3 linked regions of the Canis lupus familiaris genome follow. The protein of the gene in region 3 purifies or fractionates together with the protein of the main gene of each other region. This does not show direct contact. Links are inferred from orthologs where the notes say so. Each region holds a gene or a part of one and is shown on either strand. Other genes may lie near its edges. The genes, in order: TRIM22, RELB and NFKBIA.

The links.
Region 1: the proteins of NFKBIA (region 3) and TRIM22 purify together in Homo sapiens (affinity purification with western blotting; 3 studies listed by BioGRID). This does not show direct contact. The link is inferred for Canis lupus familiaris from reciprocal best matches to the Homo sapiens genes NFKBIA and TRIM22.
Region 2: the proteins of NFKBIA (region 3) and RELB purify together in Homo sapiens (affinity purification with mass spectrometry; 4 studies listed by BioGRID and IntAct, counting the BioPlex papers as one, with this or other methods). This does not show direct contact. The link is inferred for Canis lupus familiaris from reciprocal best matches to the Homo sapiens genes NFKBIA and RELB.

What each region holds. Positions count from the first base shown.
Region 1 is NC_049242.1:29,154,023-29,160,595, reverse strand, and holds the start of TRIM22 (E3 ubiquitin-protein ligase TRIM22), read right to left. Parts: upstream 4,683-6,573; 5' UTR 4,480-4,682; intron 1-4,479. UniProt on the Homo sapiens protein: Interferon-induced E3 ubiquitin ligase that plays important roles in innate and adaptive immunity.
Region 2 is NC_049222.1:111,146,546-111,152,793, forward strand, and holds part of RELB (transcription factor RelB), read right to left. Parts: intron 3,829-6,248; coding exon 3,613-3,828; intron 2,861-3,612; coding exon 2,792-2,860; intron 2,684-2,791; coding exon 2,606-2,683; intron 1-2,605.
Region 3 is NC_049229.1:14,261,574-14,268,146, reverse strand, and holds NFKBIA (NF-kappa-B inhibitor alpha), read left to right. Parts: upstream 1-2,263; 5' UTR 2,264-2,391; coding exon 2,392-2,618; intron 2,619-3,198; coding exon 3,199-3,307; intron 3,308-3,650; coding exon 3,651-3,861; intron 3,862-4,146; coding exon 4,147-4,235; intron 4,236-4,366; coding exon 4,367-4,627; intron 4,628-4,948; coding exon 4,949-4,996; 3' UTR 4,997-5,533; downstream 5,534-6,573. UniProt on the Homo sapiens protein: Inhibits the activity of dimeric NF-kappa-B/REL complexes by trapping REL (RELA/p65 and NFKB1/p50) dimers in the cytoplasm by masking their nuclear localization signals.

The sequences.
Region 1 (6,573 bases), on a different chromosome or scaffold from region 3:
TGAAAATGGCTCTTTGTAATATTTCAAACGCTTGACTCTAAGTTTATATCGCATGAGAAATTTCACCCCATCAGGGCAAGCTTGCTAGTTTCTCTTCTTCTGCTGGTAGGACAAATTGAAGCCCTTCCTACCAAGAACCATGTGCAACTCATCAATTTTTTCTGTCTTTACTCTCCCACCCCCAAATACATCCTCCATGTTAAATACACTAAACCCACTGTAACACCTGGTCTTTTGCACTGCTCTCCTCCTAATTGGAGTGATCCTACCCCTAATATTTGCCTGACTCCCTTTTTAAAAAGTTTTATCAAGTTATATGTATATCAAATGCGCTCATTTTAAGAGTACAATACAATGATTTCAGTAAACTTAGGGAACTGTATTACCAACCCCAAGTCCAATTTTAGAACATTTCCATCACTTGAAAACAAACTGAATGTCATTAGCAGTCTCCCCCATTTTGAGCCTGTTTATACAGGTTTGTCTTTTCTGGTCAATTGATACATTGCTGTAAATTTGCTAAATTTCTCTTATTTACTATATAATATATAACATCTTTCTTTAAATGTCTTATTCTTCCTCCTAAAAAGTAATCTAAGGATAGATCAGGCATGGTTTCGTGCACTGACAGTTCCTTGGTATCTAGAGAGGAACATCATACACAGGAACACAAAATGTGATGAATTTATAAAGTTAGAACTCCTCATCTTTCTGTAATTGACTAGATCTTTCTCATTAGCTTTTCATTTTTTCTTTCCACTTATTAGCAGTTCTCTAATAGCTGAAAAATTTACCTCCCAACACATCTGTCACACACGGAGTCTTCCCATGCCCTCAAATTCATTCCCCAAATAGGGAGATAGAAACAGCAAGGGCCACAATAGGCAGATAATTGTATCACTAACAATTTTATAACCAGTTGCAGTTTACAAATGACTTTGACCTATTTACCCCTTATATAAAAATCCTTGAGAAATAGGAGTATATCCTTTCCTCAGATGTATAAATAGAATCAAATGATGTATAGATCATTCTATTTATAGAGATCATTATTTTATAAAGGGTAGAGTTGGTGGACATACAATCCACAGGATCCTCTTTCAGAGTTATCTTTGCACTTTGCAAAGATATTAACAAAGACAAACGGAGGTAAAGGTTGTAAGAACTAGATGGGCATTTATATTTTTAGGGAGGAAAATAACAGATTCATATACTCAGGATCACACACATGACAGATCTCAAGAAACATAAATTCCATTGAGTTCTCTGTCAGTTGTGGGAGAGAAGACTCAATATAGAACAAAGACCATTGATAGAGAGATAAAGTCTGTCCTGTTTCAAACACATTGGGTGCTATTGCAGGTTGAATTATGTTCCACAAAAAATATGTCAAAGTCCTAACCTCTAATATGTGTAAATGTAACTTCGCTTGGAAATGGTATCTTTGCAGATGATCAAGTTAAAATGAAGTCATTATGATGGGCTTTAATTCAATATGACTATGTCCTCATAAAATGAGGCAATTTGGAGACACAGATGGACATGCACACATGGAGAAGGCCATGTGAAGACAAAAGCTGAGATCAGGGTGATGCATCTACAAACCAGGGAACACCAAAGATAGCCAGAAAGCTACCAGAAACTAGCAGAAACCCAGAACAGATCCTCCATCACCACCTGCAGAAAGACCAACCCTACCAACATCTTTGATCTTGTACTCTTAGGCTCCAGAATTGCGAGAAAATAAATTTCATTTAAGCCAACGATTTGTGATTTGTGTTTTTATGGCAGTCCCAGAAAACTAATATAAGTGCATCTGTTTCCTCTATTCATTTATTCTTTATTCTATCATTGAAGAAGTGTTTCACCATTGAAACTCCCTCCACCTAAACCAGACAGACAGACACAGAGACAAAATGTAGGCTCACTTTGGAGATGGTACAAATGTAGGACTTTCTATGGTAGGGTAAGGGCCTACTAGATCCTAAGTTTCCTTTTCTCAGTATATCCTGATTGTCTGCACAGAGGCTTTCTGTGTCTGCACAGTTTAGACAAGAAAAATGAAAGTGTCTTCACAATAAGGAGAGAAAGTCCTATGAGGGGGTTCGACAATATCTATAATACTTTCCCTATTCCCTGGATTAGGAATTGTCAGTTGGAAAGTAAGGCTTGTTCTTGGCATCCAGAGACCTGGGAACTCAGAAGTGTTATAATTCCTCTGCATTTCTCTACATCCAGAGCTCCCCCTTCTACCACCCTTTAGAGTACAGGGTTTAATCTTCCCCCACATAAATGACCCTGCCCCCAAGAGCTCTGAGGTCCAGTTGTTTCAAAGCAGTCATTTTGTCACACAAGTCCATGTCCGTAAGTGACAGGAGGTTAATCCTTGTCTGTCTCTTCAAATTAGATCCCATCCAACTGAATCTCTTACCTGGATTCCAGGAATAGGTTCCCCACCAGTCTCCCTGATACTGTCATTCATCTCATACAATCTGCTCTCATCACTGTTCACCCCACCAGCAAGAACGATTCTCTCTCTTTTTTTTTTTTTTTAGAATCAATCAATCTTGCCATTTCTCTGCTCAAATACATATCATTCAACTTGAGTCAGTCTTTATGGTGGTTGAGTTAGGTTCACATTATACATCCCCTCCTATTGCCTCATCCCCTTAGCCCAGCTCCTACTCCTCCCCGATTTAGACTGGCTACCTTATTTGTTCCTTGATCACTCTGGGCAAAAATCCATCTTAAAGCCATCAATTCCATGAAAACTCAGCTCAAAATCACCTTCTCACACTGATACCTACCATGAAATCTATTTTAAATTGTTAAAGCCCTTTAGGAGGGCACACCATAGACACCAGGCCCTTTGGCAGGCCTTTTTGTCTATTCGTGCTATTGTTTCTTTGTTTTCATGTTTTCTCATATTGAATTATCCTTTTGCTGTTTATTTACTTTCTCTCCACTCACCCAGAATATAATCTTTTACAGATGCTTAGTATTTATTGAATGTTCAGTGTTAATACAATTTTTTTCATCAGAGCTATATACTTTTGCTCTTGTGAATTTAATCTAAAATGTTTAAAAAAATTTTTAATTCACTTTCTCCCATCCATTGGGCCCTGTACTAGCCCCCGAGCAAACAATTAATATTCACTATATATAAACCTTGTCTAGATATAAGACACAGACCAATGACTTCTAAAAAGTAAAAGGAAATTACACATCAAAATATTACATAATATGGAGATCAAATTACAAGGTGTTCAGAGAGATTAAGATGGAGTTCTTTCTGAGAAATTACCAACTCCCTTCCTTAGCTCTGTGCAGGGAAAATGGAGTAAAGGGTTGAGCTAGAAAGCAATGGGAAGGTGTGTCTAAGATGATAGAGGACAAGTTCATTTTTTTAATGTATATATTTTTTTTATCAGAACTTGATTTGCCAACATATAGTATAACACCCAGTGCTCATCCCATCAAGTGCCCCCCTCAGTGCCTGACACCTAGTCACCGCATCCCCTCGCCCACCTCCCCTTCCACTACCCCTTGTTCATTTCCCAGAGTTAGGAGTCTCTCATGTTTTGTCAACTTCTCTGTTTTTCCCCACTCATTTTCTCTCCTTTCCCCTATAATCCTTTTCACTATTTTTTACATTCCCTGTATGAGTGAAACCATACAATGATTGTCCTTCTCGTAAAGCAGGAGTGAACACCAGAGCATTGTGCAGGTGCTGCTGAGATGGCAGTAAGCCATGCACACTCAGAAAAAAAAAAAAAAAAAAAAAAAAAAAAAAAAAAAAAAAAAAACATGTGGTTGGAGCTCCAGAGAGACAAGTGACCATGGAGGAGCTGCAAAGATGGACAGCCGCCTAATCATCCAGCCTCTCTCATCAGGCTGGCCAAAAGTCTGGTAATTTATCAGAAAGGTCCTAGACAGCTTCCCAGAAGTTATCAGGACAAGAAGATTAAAAGGATGAATTTCAAGAGCTTCTTCTCCCAGGCACAACCCTTAAGTTCCCTTTCCCTCTCACAAGTCCAGATAAGGACTCTTGTCTGTGCTGGCTTTCTGCAGGAGCTTGGGCTTTTATGAAGAGGGAAAACAGGGCTCCATTCCATGGGCTTTGCTGGAGGAAAAGAGGAAGAGATTTTCTGTTTCTGGGGGGGGAAAGTTATTCTGGCTCACCTTGGCAAGGTAGAAAATTCAAAACTAAGGAAGAAAGAAAATGAGAGTAATTCAACTGGGAGAAATAATGATCCCTCCAAGAAACAAATAAGGCTTTTGATGTTGTTAAACCTCCCTTCTTTATCAGTCATGGTGCCCCCAGACTCAATGCACCTCTCTTTTGCAGAAAACCTACCAGCTGGCTCTTTGGTGAATTTAAAGCAGCTTCAGAACCACAAATTAAACTCATCCAAACACATTCAATATGTTCCTTCCAAACGTCCTGTCCTTTGCCCTCCCAAACTGCCCCACACACACCTTTAGGTTGAAGTAGAGAAGTCTTGATTCAGCGGAGATCAGATGCAGGTATAGGCAAGATTCACTCACCAAGCCAGAAAACTGCTCTCCACAAAAGAGTTTCCCTACAGGAACTGAGTGAGAAATGAAACTTAAAATCTGAGAAGGGGAAATGAAAGAAAAGAAGCAGAGAAGAAACTTACAAAACAATAACTGTGGGAGGGCACCAAGTAGGATGCCAGGGAAGGATATGTTCTAGAACCTGCACCAGCTAGGCACCCAATCACTGCATTCTTATTCCTACCCTGGCTTACTCCAGCAAGAATATTTGAGCAAGAAAAAAAAAAAAAAAAAAAAGTGAAGCACAATGATATAGCCTGAATACTCAGCATTTCAATTTAATCCTATAATTATTTGTAGAGCTTATCCTATATTCAAGCCCTAAGCAAGTCATGAAGGATAAAATAATGATCCGGAAAGATTGGATCTGAATTCTTGCAATGCAGACAGTGATGGGAAAGATAATCAGTTATAAATCTCTGTAAATATGAGCAGACATAATGACTGTCAGCAGCCATTATTGTAAATAGTAAAAATAAAATTTAAAAGTTTCTTCAGTGTGAGCCTAGGGAGAAAAATTTTTCCAAAATGTCATTGAATCTTAGTAGTATACCGGTGAATTACCAGTTTCTGTTTCTTATGCAGGCAGGTCAGAAAAGGAAGGCTTCTAGAAATTAATCATAGTAGAACCAAATCAGTGCCTTGTTACCCAACAACCAGGAGGCAGGTGAGAACATGTAAGTTAATACATGATAGTATTCAAGCACAATCTTTTACTGAGTAACACACCTCCATAATTTTTCCACCTTCCCCCACTTCCTTTGGGAAAAATTTGTCCTTCTTTTACTATCAATCAAAAGCAGGAGTGAAACATCTTCTATTTCCTGCACACACTTTAGTGTTGTGTTATCTATCTTGTCCTTGCTCTGATTACATATTGTAGACCGGGCAACTTCATGGTGGTGGCAGCTCTACCAGAGATCTCTGACTGAAGGAATTGCAGAGCATGGCAAACTTCACACATGAACTGATGTGAGATCTGCAGGGCAACTGAGAAGTCGATGTTTGGTGAAGTAAAGCACAGATATTCTGGTATTGTTTGTAACCCACAGACATGTAAGGTAATTGTGGCTTATAAACTTCTCGAATCTCTTATATCTATGAGGCAGGAACTGGAAAATCATATAGGAGTATACTGAAGTAAGTTTTTCCTAACAATGAAGAAAGTTGTGATGCTTTTCACGTGCAATTATAATCATCTCCATTTTGTATAAATTGCATTCTGAAAGGGCAGCCGGGGTGGCTCAGCGGTTTAGCGCCGCCTTTGGCCCAGGGCCTGATCCTGGAGACCCGGGATTGAGTCCCATGTCGGGCTCCCTGCATGGAGCCTGCTTCTCCCTCTGCCTGTGTCTCTGTCTCTGTCTCTTTATCTCTCTCTCTCGTGAATAAATAAATAAAATTAAAAAAAAAAAAACAAATTGCATTCTGAGAGCTAGCATTTTTTATCACCTTTGCTATCATATAATACTATCATCAACTACTCCTCCCCTTGCAGCCCTGCACCAAACAACAGTAAGCTTTATGAAGGCCGAAAGGGAAATTTTCTATGTTGTTCCTTCTTGTTTCAAATATATTGCAAAGTGTTGCATACAGGGAATGATATTTAAATAGACACACATTTATATGGCTATAGATACCACTTAAATTGCATTGAACAAACTGATGATAATCATGGTTTGGTTCTACTGTTGCTTTTGCAGTCAACATAAGTGCTGTGGTGTGTGTGAATTCTGGCATAAATATTTATATCAACGCCTTTGAAGAATGTTACCCAACAATTTTTTCATGTCTTCTCTGTTTTGCTCCTAAAGTTTACTCAGATAATTCTCTCAGTGCCTGTTTTTTAATCGTTCTATACCAGCACATTCTAACCACCTTACTTCCTGTGGCTTGTGGTTTTCTCAGACTGAAAAGAGTTAAAATTCACCCAAAGGAAAAAAAAAAAAAATTCACCCAGAGTGGGAGATATTTCATGTAGATTCCTCCTCAATAGGA
Region 2 (6,248 bases), on a different chromosome or scaffold from region 3:
ATGCATGATCACCGTGGCCTCCTTTAATCCCAAGGAGAACCCTGGGGTAGGCATTATCACCATTCGCACTTAATAAGCAAATTGAGGTCAAGAGCGCCTGGGTAGCTCAGTGGTTGAACATCTGCCTTCTGCTCAGGTCTTGATCCCAGGGTCCAGGGATCGAGTCCCACATCAGGCTCCCTGCATGGAGCCTGCTACTCCCTCTGCCTCTCTCTCTCTGCTTCTCTATGTCTTTCATGAATAAATAAATAAATAAAATCTTAAAAAAAAAAAAAGCAAACAGGCAAAATAATTCAGTCACACATAGCTGGTAAGTTGTAGAACCAGGGTTCAAACTATGCTTCTGCAGGGCTGGGGAGTTTTTCCAAAAAATAAGGATGTTGAAGAGGCTCTAAAGTCCTCCCCTCACCCAAGTTATAGAGACCACCCAAAAAGTGAAAGCCCCACACATGGAAGACCTAAATGAGAAGTCACCAGTTCCCAAATTGGAAGGTAAAATTGTATGTCATTATAAAGGAGAGTCTCTTTCTGAGACAAGACAAACCTGACCAGCAAAGGCAAATTATGCTTATCTCAGAAAGACTCAGGGCTGCTGGGACTCTATTTCCCAGCCTCCCTTACAGCTAAATGTCATCATGTGACTTAAGTTCTCCTGGCTGGACTATGGGTGTGATGGCTGGAGCCTCAGCAGCCATATTGGACCATGAGATGGAAAATGAGTTGAAAATGGCAGGAGCTTGGTTGGGTCTCTGATGATCCTACAGCCTCCACACCATCCCAGGACTATCTACCACTGTTTATCTGAGAAGAGAAATATAGCCTGTTGAAGCCCCTGTTAATTTGGGTTTTGTTGTGAATACAGCTAAACATGATCATAACAAATGCATTCCTGGCATTCCTGTCCAGCAAGTTCCTAAGATCTCCTGAGCACTAACTATGCTAACTATCTGTGTGATATGACCTGACTAGATTCTAAAAAGGACCCTAAGAGGTAAGATTTCCATCTGACAGATGAGATCCAAAGAAGTCACATGGCTAAATTCAGGCTTCAGAATCCAAACTCAGTCTGATTCCAGAGGCCATGCTCCTAACCATTATACTATCATGCCAGAGCAGCTTTGCCCCATGGATGAGAGAGGAGGGCTTTAGGCATTGGGAAACGGGTGATGGAGGACGTAGATGAACAGCAGTGGCTAAAGAGGAGACGCTTTGGGACTTGGGGATTGAAGACTGGTGAAGTGGGCTAGGATTGGTTGTTGCTATAGGTAGAGCTCTGGGCATTAGTTACCAGGTGCAGTGGGTAGGGGGAACAACAGGTGATACTTGAAACCTCCACAGTGGGACTGGTTGGAGTGATCCAGGCTCAGCAGACTCTGAGTGGCTGGCTGTTGGTGGCTGGCTGGGAGCTGGGTGCCCTGGGGTAGCTGGGGTATTAGGGGACAGCACTGTTAGAGCTAGTGGTCAGCGGCTGGGGAGGCTTCTGATGGCAGCCAGATAAGGCTGCAGTTCATGGGAAGCAGAGGCTGGCATATGAGTTAAGATGAAAGCAGGGGTAGAACAGGCCAGAGGGTGTTTGGGCTAGAGACAGGCTCTGAATTAAGGCTGGTTGGCTCTGACAACCCCTCCCATTTATCTACCATTTACCCCCTGCTATCTGTTCCACATAATATTGTATCACTAATCTACCTGTATAGATGCCCAGGTTCAAGTCCCTGCTCCACCGCAAATGCAGTATGTGACCTTGGCTAAGAGACTTCAGCTTCCCGGGCCTCAGTTTCTTTATCAGTAAAATGAGGGGGGAAGTGATGTGATGGTATAGATTCAATGAGTAAACATACACAAAGCACCTATGTACCCATTATATAGTGTCTATAAAAAGAAATGCAATAAAATCTAAAAGGCCAGGCAGCCAGGGTGGTTCAGCAGTTTGGTGCCATCTTCAGCCCAGGGCCTGATCCTGGAGACCTCGGATCGAATCCCACGTCAGGCTACCTGCATGGAGCCTGCATCTCCCTCTGCCTGTGTTTCTGCCTCTCTCTCTGTGTCTCTCATGAATAATAAAATAAAATCTTTTTTTTTTAAATTTTTATTTATTTATGATAGTCACAGAGAGAGAGAGAGGCAGAGACACAGGCAGAGGGAGAAGCAGGCTCCATGCACTGGGAGCCTGATGTGGGATTCGATCCCAGGTCTCCAGGATCGCGCCCTGGGCCAAAGGCAGGCGCCAAACCGCTGCGCCACCCAGGGATCCCCAATAAAATAAAATCTTTAAAAAAAAATCTAAAAGGCCAATGAGGGAGGTGTATGGTGAAACTTTTCAGAGGAGTCTCTGAGGCCCTGAGAGGTCGAGCAACTTGGTGAGGGTCACACAGCAAGTGAATGGCCCAGGAGACATCGAGCCTCCTCCAAATGGTATCCAGAACTGTACTTTCTACTTCATGTACTTCATGCTGCTGCCTGAGATGTGAGTTCCTGGCCTTGTGGGACCTCTTGGCGGGAGGGCGGGGGGGGGGGGTTGCTGAAGAGGCCAGAAGCAGGGCTGCAGCTCACCCTCATCCCACTTCAGAGAGCAGGGGCTTGCCCTAAGTGGGGAACCACAACCCACCTGAGCTGGAGTTGGGCAGGAAGTGATCCAGGAAGGCTGGCTTTTTCCTCCGTCGTTTGCTCTCGATGCCATGCGGATCTGAAGGAAGGCAGAGATGAGGACCCCTGGACCCTCACAGCCCCTCCTCCCCAGGCTAGGGCTTAGCCATCCCCTCCCAGGATGTGGAAAGGGGCAGAGGGGACACACCAGAGCTGTTCAGCTCCCCGAGGACATCAGGCATCCCCCGTTTCCGCTTCTTGTCCACGCCATAGCTGTCTGTTCAGGAGATACCAGGGGCAACATTATCCATCAATAATAATAATTAAGAATTAATTATAGAGACCATTTAGGAAGTCATTGACCTGTTCTAATTCTTGACCAACTAATGCAAATAGATGTCCGCATCTCAATCAGAATGAAACCCAAATTCACTTCAAGCCACACTGGCCTCTTTGTTGTTCCTGGAACATCCCAGGCACAATCCTGCCTCAGGACCTTTGCACTTGCTATTCTAGCTATTTGAAACACTATTTTCCAACTCCCACCACTTCCCTGGACAACTGCCTAGTCATCCCCATGTCCTCAACTAAGTCATCCCCTCCTCCAGGAAGCCCTTCCTAATCCCCAAGCCTGGACCAGATGCCCACTCTGAGCAATCTGAGTCCTCCGAGCAAATCTATCCCCACAATAGGACTGTGAGACTTATGAGAGCAGGGCTGGGGCTATCTTGGTCACTGCTGTGTCCTCAGCACCACTCAGTACAGGGCCAGGCATGAGGAGGCAAGCTGAGGGGAGAAATAATCAAATATTCCCCAAATGCCATCAGCTATGTACTGTTACTTCCATTTTACACAGGAGACAGGGTCAGAGAGAGGCTAAGGTCACACAACCAGTAAGAGGTAGAGCCAGGAACTGAACCCAGCCTGTGCAGTCAAGAGCCTGCATTTTACTTCTGCCTCTTCCCTTGTCCCCTCTAGGCCAGACACCTGGTCTCTGGGCAATGGGTCACCCTGGGTTGCCGTGGTTACCATGGTCCCGAGGCAGGTACGTGAAGGGCAGAGGCTCGCTGCAGACCCCGTCAGTAAGCCGCTGCAGGAAGACGTTCACGGTCACAGGCTCAACGATTTCCAGGTCCTCATAGGGTGGTGTCTTGAAAACAATGGCAATCTGGCGGTGCACATCGGCCTGGGAGAAGTCAGCCCGGCCTTCCCAGGAGGCCCTGCTAAACACCACCGATATATCCTCTGGCGGGAAAGTGGGGACGTCAGCTGAGCCAGGGCACTGGCCCACCGGGCCCCCAACTCATTCAGCCTTCCCCCAAATCAACATTGATATTCTTTTTTTTTATTATTTAATTTTTATTTATTTATGATAGTCACAGAGAGAGAGAGAGAGAGGCAGAGACACAGGTAGAGGGAGAAGCAGGCTCCACGCACCGGGAGCCCGACATGGGATTCGATCCCGGGTCTCCAGGATCGCGCCCTGGGCCAAAGGCAGGCGCTAAACCGCTGCGCCACCCAGGGATCCCAACATTGATATTCTTTTAAAAATATGTGTGTGTGTGTATATGTATATATATATGTTAAGTTTTATTACATCCATTTGTTTTTTTTTTTTATTACATCCATTTGATTTAAATGAGCTTCACACACAACATGGGGCTTGAACTCACAACTCTGAGCTCAAGATTCCCATACTCTACCAACTGAACCAGCCAGGTGCCCCCAATATTGATATCCTTAAGAATAAAATTAATTATAGAGGCACCTGAGGGGCTCAGTTGGTTGAGCGTCCAACTCTTGGTTTTGGCTCAGGTCATGATCTCAGGTTCGTGAGACTAAGCCCCATATTGGGAGGGGGGCTAAGGAAGTGAGGAATCTGCCTAAGATTCTCTCCCTCTGTCCCTCCCCTGCTCATACATACTCTTTCTCTCTCAAATAAATAAATCTGGGACACCTGGGTGGCTCAATGGTTGAGTGTCTGTCTATGGCTTAGAGTGTGGTCCTAGAGTCCCGGGATCAAGTCCCACATTGGGATCCCTTGAGGAACCTGCTTCTCCCTCTGCCTATATCTCTGCTTCTCTCTGTGTAGTTCATGAATACATAAATAGAATCTTAAAAAAAACAAATCTTAAGAAAAAAGAATAAAACTAATCATAGCAGCAGTTAACCTTCTGTTGAGCACCTACTGTGTGCCAGCCACTAAGTGTTTTACATATTTTTAATATATTATCTTATTTAATCCTTTTAGCAACATGAGAGACAGACAGAATTAATATCGCCACCATGTCAGAAGTCCCCCTAGACCACCATCAGATTCAGTGATTCATTAAGGGGACACACAGGACTCAGCCTATAATTGTACTCATGCATGATTTATTACTGCAAAAAGATACCTAGCATCCTCAGTAAAGGGAAAAGATGCCTGGAGTGAAGTCCAGAGAAAACCAGTCACAAGTTTCCAGGAGTCTTTTCCCAGTGGAAACAGAGAACATGTTAATCCCTTCCCCACCCCATTAACAAACTGTGACAACACATGTGAAATGCTGTCTATCAGGGAAGCTCACTGGAGATTCAGTACACAGGGTTTTTATTGGGGGCTGGTTACATAGGCACCCTCTGCCTGGCCTATATCAAAATTTCAGACTCCCAGAAGCAAAGCAGGTGTTCAGCACAAACCACCTTGTTCATATAGTTAAAGCACAGTGAGCCCCTCTCATTATCCAAGCTCCCAATAACCAGCCAAGCATCAACCTTGCACACAGGCCTTTCAAAGGATAACAGTCTCAGACCTTCTATGTTAACTCTTTTACATACCCCCTTTAAATATGGGGAAACTGAGGCTTCGAAGGGTAAAGAGACTTACCCAAGGTCACACAGCTGGTAGCAGGATAGTCAGGATCCAGTATGCTATACTGCCCATTATTTCTTTTTCTTATCTTATTGCATTGCCTCTTTTCACACTAATTCCATCTACTGAGGCTTTATATTTGTCTAGACACACAGAGATTGCCTCTAAGTCACACAGCAATCTTATGAAAAAAAAGTACCTTGAGGAAACCCATTATATAGAGGGAGCAAAGGCACGGAAAGGGTGAAGTCACTTGTCCGAGGTCACAAAGCCAACAAGTGGTAGAGGCAAGATGGGAATCCAAGTGGGCTAGAGCTCTTCACCACCATCTCCCAAGGGTTTGGGGAAGTTACCTGATATCTCTGGGCCTAGTTTCCTCACCTAAGCAGAAGCAAAATCAGAGTACCTACTTCACATGGTTGCTTGGAGGATTAGTTGAATCACTCCAAGTAAAGGTGCTCAGTCCACGTTAAGTATGATTACTTTTTTTAAAAGATTTTATTTATTTGACAGAGAGAGAGAGAGAGAGTACAAGCAGGGGGAGCTGCAAGCAGAGGGAGAGGGAAAAGCAAGCTCCCTGCTGAGCAAAGAGCCTGATGTAGGGCTTAACCCCAGGACCCTTGGATCATGACCTGAGCCAAAGGCAGATGCTTAACCAACTGAGCTACCCAGGTACCCCAGGTATGATTACTTTTATTAGCATTACACAAAGTACTAGCTTCAGGCCTGGCACTCAGAAATTCTCAGTAAATGCTAACTCTTTATAGTGTAGTTCTTGGGTAATTGAGAGCCTGTCTCAACCTAACACCAACTC
Region 3 (6,573 bases):
GCATTCAGCCTCATTTCTACGATGTGTTTTCAAAAGTGTTAATACTACAACTGCTTTGGCCCAATGATTGATACGTTGGAATAGAAATTAGATAAACTGCCATCGGGTGCCTCGGTAAATTTCTTTGCATTTCAGTCTCTTTTGGGGAAAGTAGGAACTATACCTAACAAGAGGAGTTCTGAGAACTAACAGTGTATTGCAGTAAGTGTTGGGAATCCTTCTAAAAACATACTGTGATATTTCTAAGAGACATGGTCACCCTGAGGCAGTTATTATGTATCTGTGGACAAGTAATAAAATTTTTAAGCTGGAGAGAAACCTTAAATGACGTTAAATCCAATGTTATTATAAAAGCCGGTACACCACAGCAAAGTTAACTGATCTCTCCAAATTAATATGTAATTAATTAGAGGTAGAGCCTGCAATTGAGATTTATTTATAGCTGTTGTGCCCTGCCTCAATAATTGTATAGTTTGTATATTATATGCCTGCAGAGACAATGGAGTCTATCTTTGGAAGTTTTCATTATAACATGTGATCATTACTATCCTGAAGGTTGTTGTTGTTGTTTTTAAGATTATTTATTCATGAGAGACACAGACTGAGAGGGAGAGGCAGAGACACAGACAGAGGGAGAAGCAGGCTCCTTGCAAGGAGCCTGATGTGGGACTCGATCCCAGATCCCGGGATCACGACCTGAGCTGAAGGCAGGCATCCAACAGCTGAGCCACCCGGGCGTCCCTATCCTGAAGGTTTTATTTCTTGATTTTAGGGCTTTTATCCCCCCTTATATTTTTTTTATCTCACTCCCCCGACCCCGGTTCCCTAAATTCAGATAGTCGGGAGGAGTGGAGGGAGAAGAGATGAGCAAAGGGTTGGTTAGTATATGGCCAGTCAAGTTAAGATGATTGCAATATAATCACCAGAAATTTCTGCAAAATTATAAAGCCTCCTGGAGCTAGTTCTGAAAAACTCTGACCTGAGTTGCTTCATTTTGCCTGGACCAATTCTAGAGATAGAAAAATTCTGTTAGAGGCTGGTTGGCTAGGAGAATGGGGGTAGGGTGGGGAACGTAAGTTATATTTCTGCAGGTGAAACCAAAGGATGAGGAGCCCATAGGGGCTATACACAGCGCCTGGAGAGGTCCAACTGCTGCCCTCTCCAGGGCAGGAGAGCAGGGAGCCAGCAAGAGGGTAATGTTAGGTTGGCGGGAGGGTGGCCTTCTGTAGGATGCTTTGCAATCTAAACCATCCTTAAGGCCCAATCTTGGGTAAGGCACTTCTCAACCTATTCTTCAGCCTCTTCCAAATGCTTCTGGAAAGACACCGGCTGGGTACCCAGAAGTAGGCTCTGCAGCAGCACAGTGCAAATCAGGAAACATGACCTCAATAATTATTTTGTTCGTGCAGGGCAGCTAGCTACAACCTCTACTACAAAGATTAACACCTTGCTTTACCTGAAAAAAAGTATGGTCCTGTTCAGCGTTTTCGCTGAACACAGGGCAGAGTGCTTGCCTCTCCACCAGTCAACAGGAATGTTAATCCCGAGGAAATGATTTGAGGGTTCTCCAAGCATTTCAATGCCAAAAAATGCCAAAAGCTTTTTGGCTTTTAATGCCAAAGCATGCACAACTTTTACCTGGTTGGGGGGGGGGGGGGGCCTCGAGGGAGTGCTACGTGTGTCCCCGCGCCACAAAGAGCCTGGCATTGGCAGGGTGGCAGAGGCAGCCGGCGACCTTCTAACCCGCCAGTGCGTCCTTCCCCGCAGAAGTTTGGGGAAGCAAATCCCTACGTCCAGCCATCATTTCCACCCGAGTTTTCAAAAGATCAAGAAACGGAAAGGTTGGCAAACCCCAAGGAGGAACTGCCTGGCGGGTCTGCGTTCATTGGGATCTCAGCAGCCGACGACCCCAAGTCGAATCGATCGTGGGAAACCCCAGGGAAAGAAGGCCGCTTGCAGAGGGACAGGATTACCGAGTGCAAGCTGCAGGGAAGTACCGGGGGAGGGGGCCTCGGTCGGGAGGACTTTCCAGCCGCTCAGCGTTCATCAAAAAGTTCCCTGTACATGACCCCAGTGGCTCATCGCCGGGAGTTTCTCTGATGAACCCGGCTCAGGGTTTAGGCTTCTCCCCCTTCCTCCCCCTCCCGAGCAGAGGACGGGGCCAGTTCTCTTTTCTGGTCTGACTGGCTTGGAAATTCCCCGCGCCTGACCCCGCCCCGGAGAAATCCCCTGCCAGCGTTTATAGGGCGCCGCGGCGGCGCTGGCGAGCCCACAAGAGTCGCAGCCAGCGGTCCTGCGTCCGTGACCCTGCGAGGCGAGGCGAGGCGAGGCGGCGAGCGCGCAGCCCGCGGCCGAGCGCACCTGGGCAGCAGCGCCGAGCCTTCCCGCGCCATGCTGCAGCAAGCCGAGCACGCCCAGGACTGGGCCATGGAGGGTCCCCGGGACGCGCTCAAGAAGGAGCGGCTGCTGGACGACCGCCACGACAGCGGCCTGGACTCCATGAAGGACGAGGAGTACGAGCAGCTGGTGAAGGAGCTGCGGGAGATCCGTCTCGAGCCGCAGGAGGCGCCGCGCGGCGCCGAGCCCTGGAAGCAGCAGCTCACCGAGGACGGAGACTCGTAGGTGTCTCGGGGCGGGCGGGGACGCCGCGCCTGCAGCGCGAGGCCGAGGGGCGGCAGCCGACCGGGGTGTGGGCACCGATCCCCCGTACACCCCTGGCCCCGGGACCGCGCAAAGCTGCCGGCTGCGCTGCGGGCAGCAGAGGAGGGTCGGATCCCGGGCTGGCGGTGCAGCAGCCCTGCGCTGCAGCGCGCACCCCCACCCCCCAGCCCCGGTCCGGAGCCGGTCCTGCCGGCGGGGGCGGGGCGGCGGCGGGGACGCGAAGTCCCCGCTTGCACAAGGGGGGCGGGAGCTCCTGCCCCGCGGGCGGGCGCCGGGGGGCCGGGAGGGGAAGTACAGGGCGTTCCGGCCCGGCGGGAGGGCGGGGCGGTCTGGCCGGCGCCCGCCGAGGAGGGAGGGGGCCCGGAAAGTCCCTGGGCGCCTGCCAGGAACACTCAGCTCATAATAACCTCGCGGAAAACACCGCGGCCTCGGCCTCCAGAAACCCCGGCCTTGCGCAATCCCCCGCAGCCCGCGCCTCCCTGGGCCCCACGCGATGCACTCACCAGCCCTGGGGGTTTTTCCCTCTCTTCCCCTTAGGTTCCTGCACTTGGCCATCATCCATGAAGAGAAGGCCCTGACCATGGAAGTGGTCCGCCAAGTGAAGGGCGACCTGGCCTTCCTCAACTTCCAGAACAACCTGCAGCAGGTGCGCCGGCTCGCCCAGCCCTGTGCCTCTGACCCAGTGATGAAGTTGGATCTAGCTCAGTTGCTCCCAATCCTTTCTAAATTAATAATCACTGGGCATTATGTACCTTGACCTTTTTACATTGGAATCGGCCAACGTCCTAGAGAATAAAGAAAATTCTATTGATTTGGTGAGGCCTATGATGAAAGCCCACCTGCGGCCTCTGGCATTTATCTTGCCCTTCATACCTGTCTGGGAGGAGGAGCAGCACCCACAACCAGTAGATCTCCGGAGTTCAAGGGAAGACAGACTCTTGAGTTTGGGCCATGGCTTACCCTCTTTCTATTCCCTCTTGTGTTTGTAGACTCCACTCCACTTGGCTGTGATCACCAACCAACCAGAAATTGCTGAGGCACTTCTGGAAGCTGGCTGTGATCCTGAGCTCCGAGACTTTCGAGGAAATACCCCCCTACACCTTGCCTGTGAGCAAGGCTGCCTGGCCAGCGTGGGAGTCCTGACTCAGACTTGCAGGACCCAGCACCTCTACTCCATCCTCCAGGCCACCAACTACAATGGTATGTCTGCCTGCCCTACCCTGCCCATCAGAAGGCAGGTGACATGGAGAAGGGAGAGGTAGGCCAATGTTAGGAGTCCAGGCAAGAGCTGAAACTCTGAATACTTGAAAGGTTGAGAAAATATGCATGCAAAAGGTCTGTTTCATGCCTTGATAAAGTTCATTCAGAGCCCAGATTCTGGGTTCTCCAAATTCAGAATTTATTCCCTATAAGAATAGACAGAAAGTTCTGCTTGAGATCTGAGGGTTGAAGCAAGTGGTTATATTTGCTTCATTGTTCTTCTAGGTCACACATGTCTACATTTAGCTTCTATCCATGGCTATTTGGGCATTGTGGAGCTTCTGGTGTCTTTGGGTGCTGATGTCAATGCTCAGGTGAGTTCTTCATGTCTCCAGATGGAACGCATCAGGGCTCCAGGCCCTCCTCAATAAGACCTCACATGTTCTTGTTGCAAGTAGAAATTCCAAACTCAACCATAAACATCTCAAATTCCTTTTGGTTTCAGGAGCCCTGTAATGGCCGAACCGCCCTCCATCTTGCAGTGGACCTGCAGAATTCTGACCTTGTGTCGCTTTTGTTGAAGTGTGGGGCTGATGTCAACAGAGTTACCTACCAGGGCTACTCCCCGTACCAGCTCACGTGGGGCCGCCCAAGCACACGGATACAGCAGCAGCTGGGCCAGCTGACCCTAGAAAACCTTCAGATGCTGCCAGAGAGTGAGGATGAGGAGAGCTATGACACAGAGTCAGAGTTCACAGAGGACGAGGTGAGTGTCAACTCCATCGCTCTGCACAAAGCAGTACCCTCCCAGGTCTCTAGAGCTCCTCTTTATCCAAAGAGCTCAATGCAATGAAGTTCTCCCACTTTAGTGTTCATGACCAGGAGTCTCCCAAAAGTGTGTCTTTGTTTTTTGCTCTTTTTAAAGGAGAGGAGCATTAAAGAAAAACTTCCTTAGCCCCTGAGGTTAATTTATACTTGGGTTATGGAGAATGGAATCCAAGAGTACTTGATAATGGCCCTCACCCTTATCCCAGTACCTTTGACAAAACTGGAAGCTTAACATGGCTTTTTTTTCTCTTGTTTTTAGCTGCCCTATGATGACTGTGTGCTTGGAGGCCAGCGCTTGACGTTATGAGCTTCAAAACATATCTAAAAGAACACGGACTTGTATATTTGTACAAAAAGAGAGTTTTATTTTTCTAAAAAAAAGAAAAAAAAAGAAAAAAATCAAAAGGGGGTACTTAAAACCACACTTCACATTCCCTAGCCAGAAACATTTACTATGGTGGATCAGCCCTTGTTATTTTTTGTGAACTTTGGAAGGAGGACAAGATCAATGGAATTCAAAGAAAACCTTGTTCAGAAGTTGCCTTTGTGGGGTTTCTGAAGGAGGTTATGCAAAATGTGACAAAAGGACTACATCGCATTGTGCTTTTTGATTGAATCACCATAGATTCAGTGGCTGTGCCCAGTGTGGGATGCGTGACAACCAGGTGTAATGACCTGGTGTGTCATTAAACCTTGGGGGGGGGGGGCGGTGTGGGGTTAAAAGTCACTACCTGTCAAGGTTTGTGTTTACCCCCCTGTAAATGATGTACATTGTGTATTTTGTTGGTAATTATTTTGGTACTTCTAAGACATGTATTTATTAAACAGATTTTTACAAACAGAATTATCGTGATCATTCTCTTTGGGCTGCCATGGGGCTCCCAACCTGAGAGTCATCCGATCCTCTGGGGAGGTGTAGAGCTGTGTGGGAGTGCTTACCACAGCTAGCTACAAAGCCCTTTCAGAGAGCAGCTTCTCACGCTGTGTAAGCCAGCCTCCCCGCCAGGCTTCGCCGGCAGCCCCAGGGCCCTATGCGTGGGAGAGGAGGCTCTAGCAAGATGATAGGAAACCACCATTCTTAGGTGGTGGGGGTGGGGTAGGGGTGGGGGGCTTCTTGGCCTACAGCTGGAATCCTCCATTGTCATCTGCTTTCATCTTGGTTTAAGCATGCCAGGACTCTTCCACTTTAGGGAATTATTTTGATGAAGAGAAATATGCTTAAATCACATTTTATATTACTGGGAAAGTTCTTAACTATAATACTGGAAGTTCCTAAGGAATGAGCTCAGAAATGGAACACACTAACATTAGCAGGTACCCACCTTTGAGCCTTCATTTCTTAATTTATAAACTGGGCTGTTCTAAAGATTGTACAAGATAACACACGTCTAAAGCAGCATAGCAGAGTGCTAGGCACATGGTGCTAGAGAGAAATGCAAGCTACTGCACAACATCCTGTATTTCAAAGGGGAAGAAACCAGTCCAGAGAGAATGTCCAGTCTGGGGTCACCTTGCAGGAAAGGCAGGTGGTTAACTTCCAGCCCTTGTTTCCAGGTGATTAATATCTTTTAACTGCATTCCACCTCTAAATCAACCTATTGTTACCAGCTGTAGTGAGTGATACTAAAGGCCTAAAGAGTCTTTTCCCCAGCTCGGTCCATCTGCTAATTCTACTGAATCTAACAGAAGTCAAGAACTTGTGAAATTTGAGTTTAAATGCTCTGTATTGACGTTTTCATCCCTAAAAGACATTTCTTGCCTAGGTAGAAAGAGTAGTATAGCCAAGTTCATGGCATTATATAAAATACAGAATGGCATATAAATGCAATCCATGTACTTTGGCTTACACCTAAGAAAACATTGCCATTACATTATCCCTTTCCG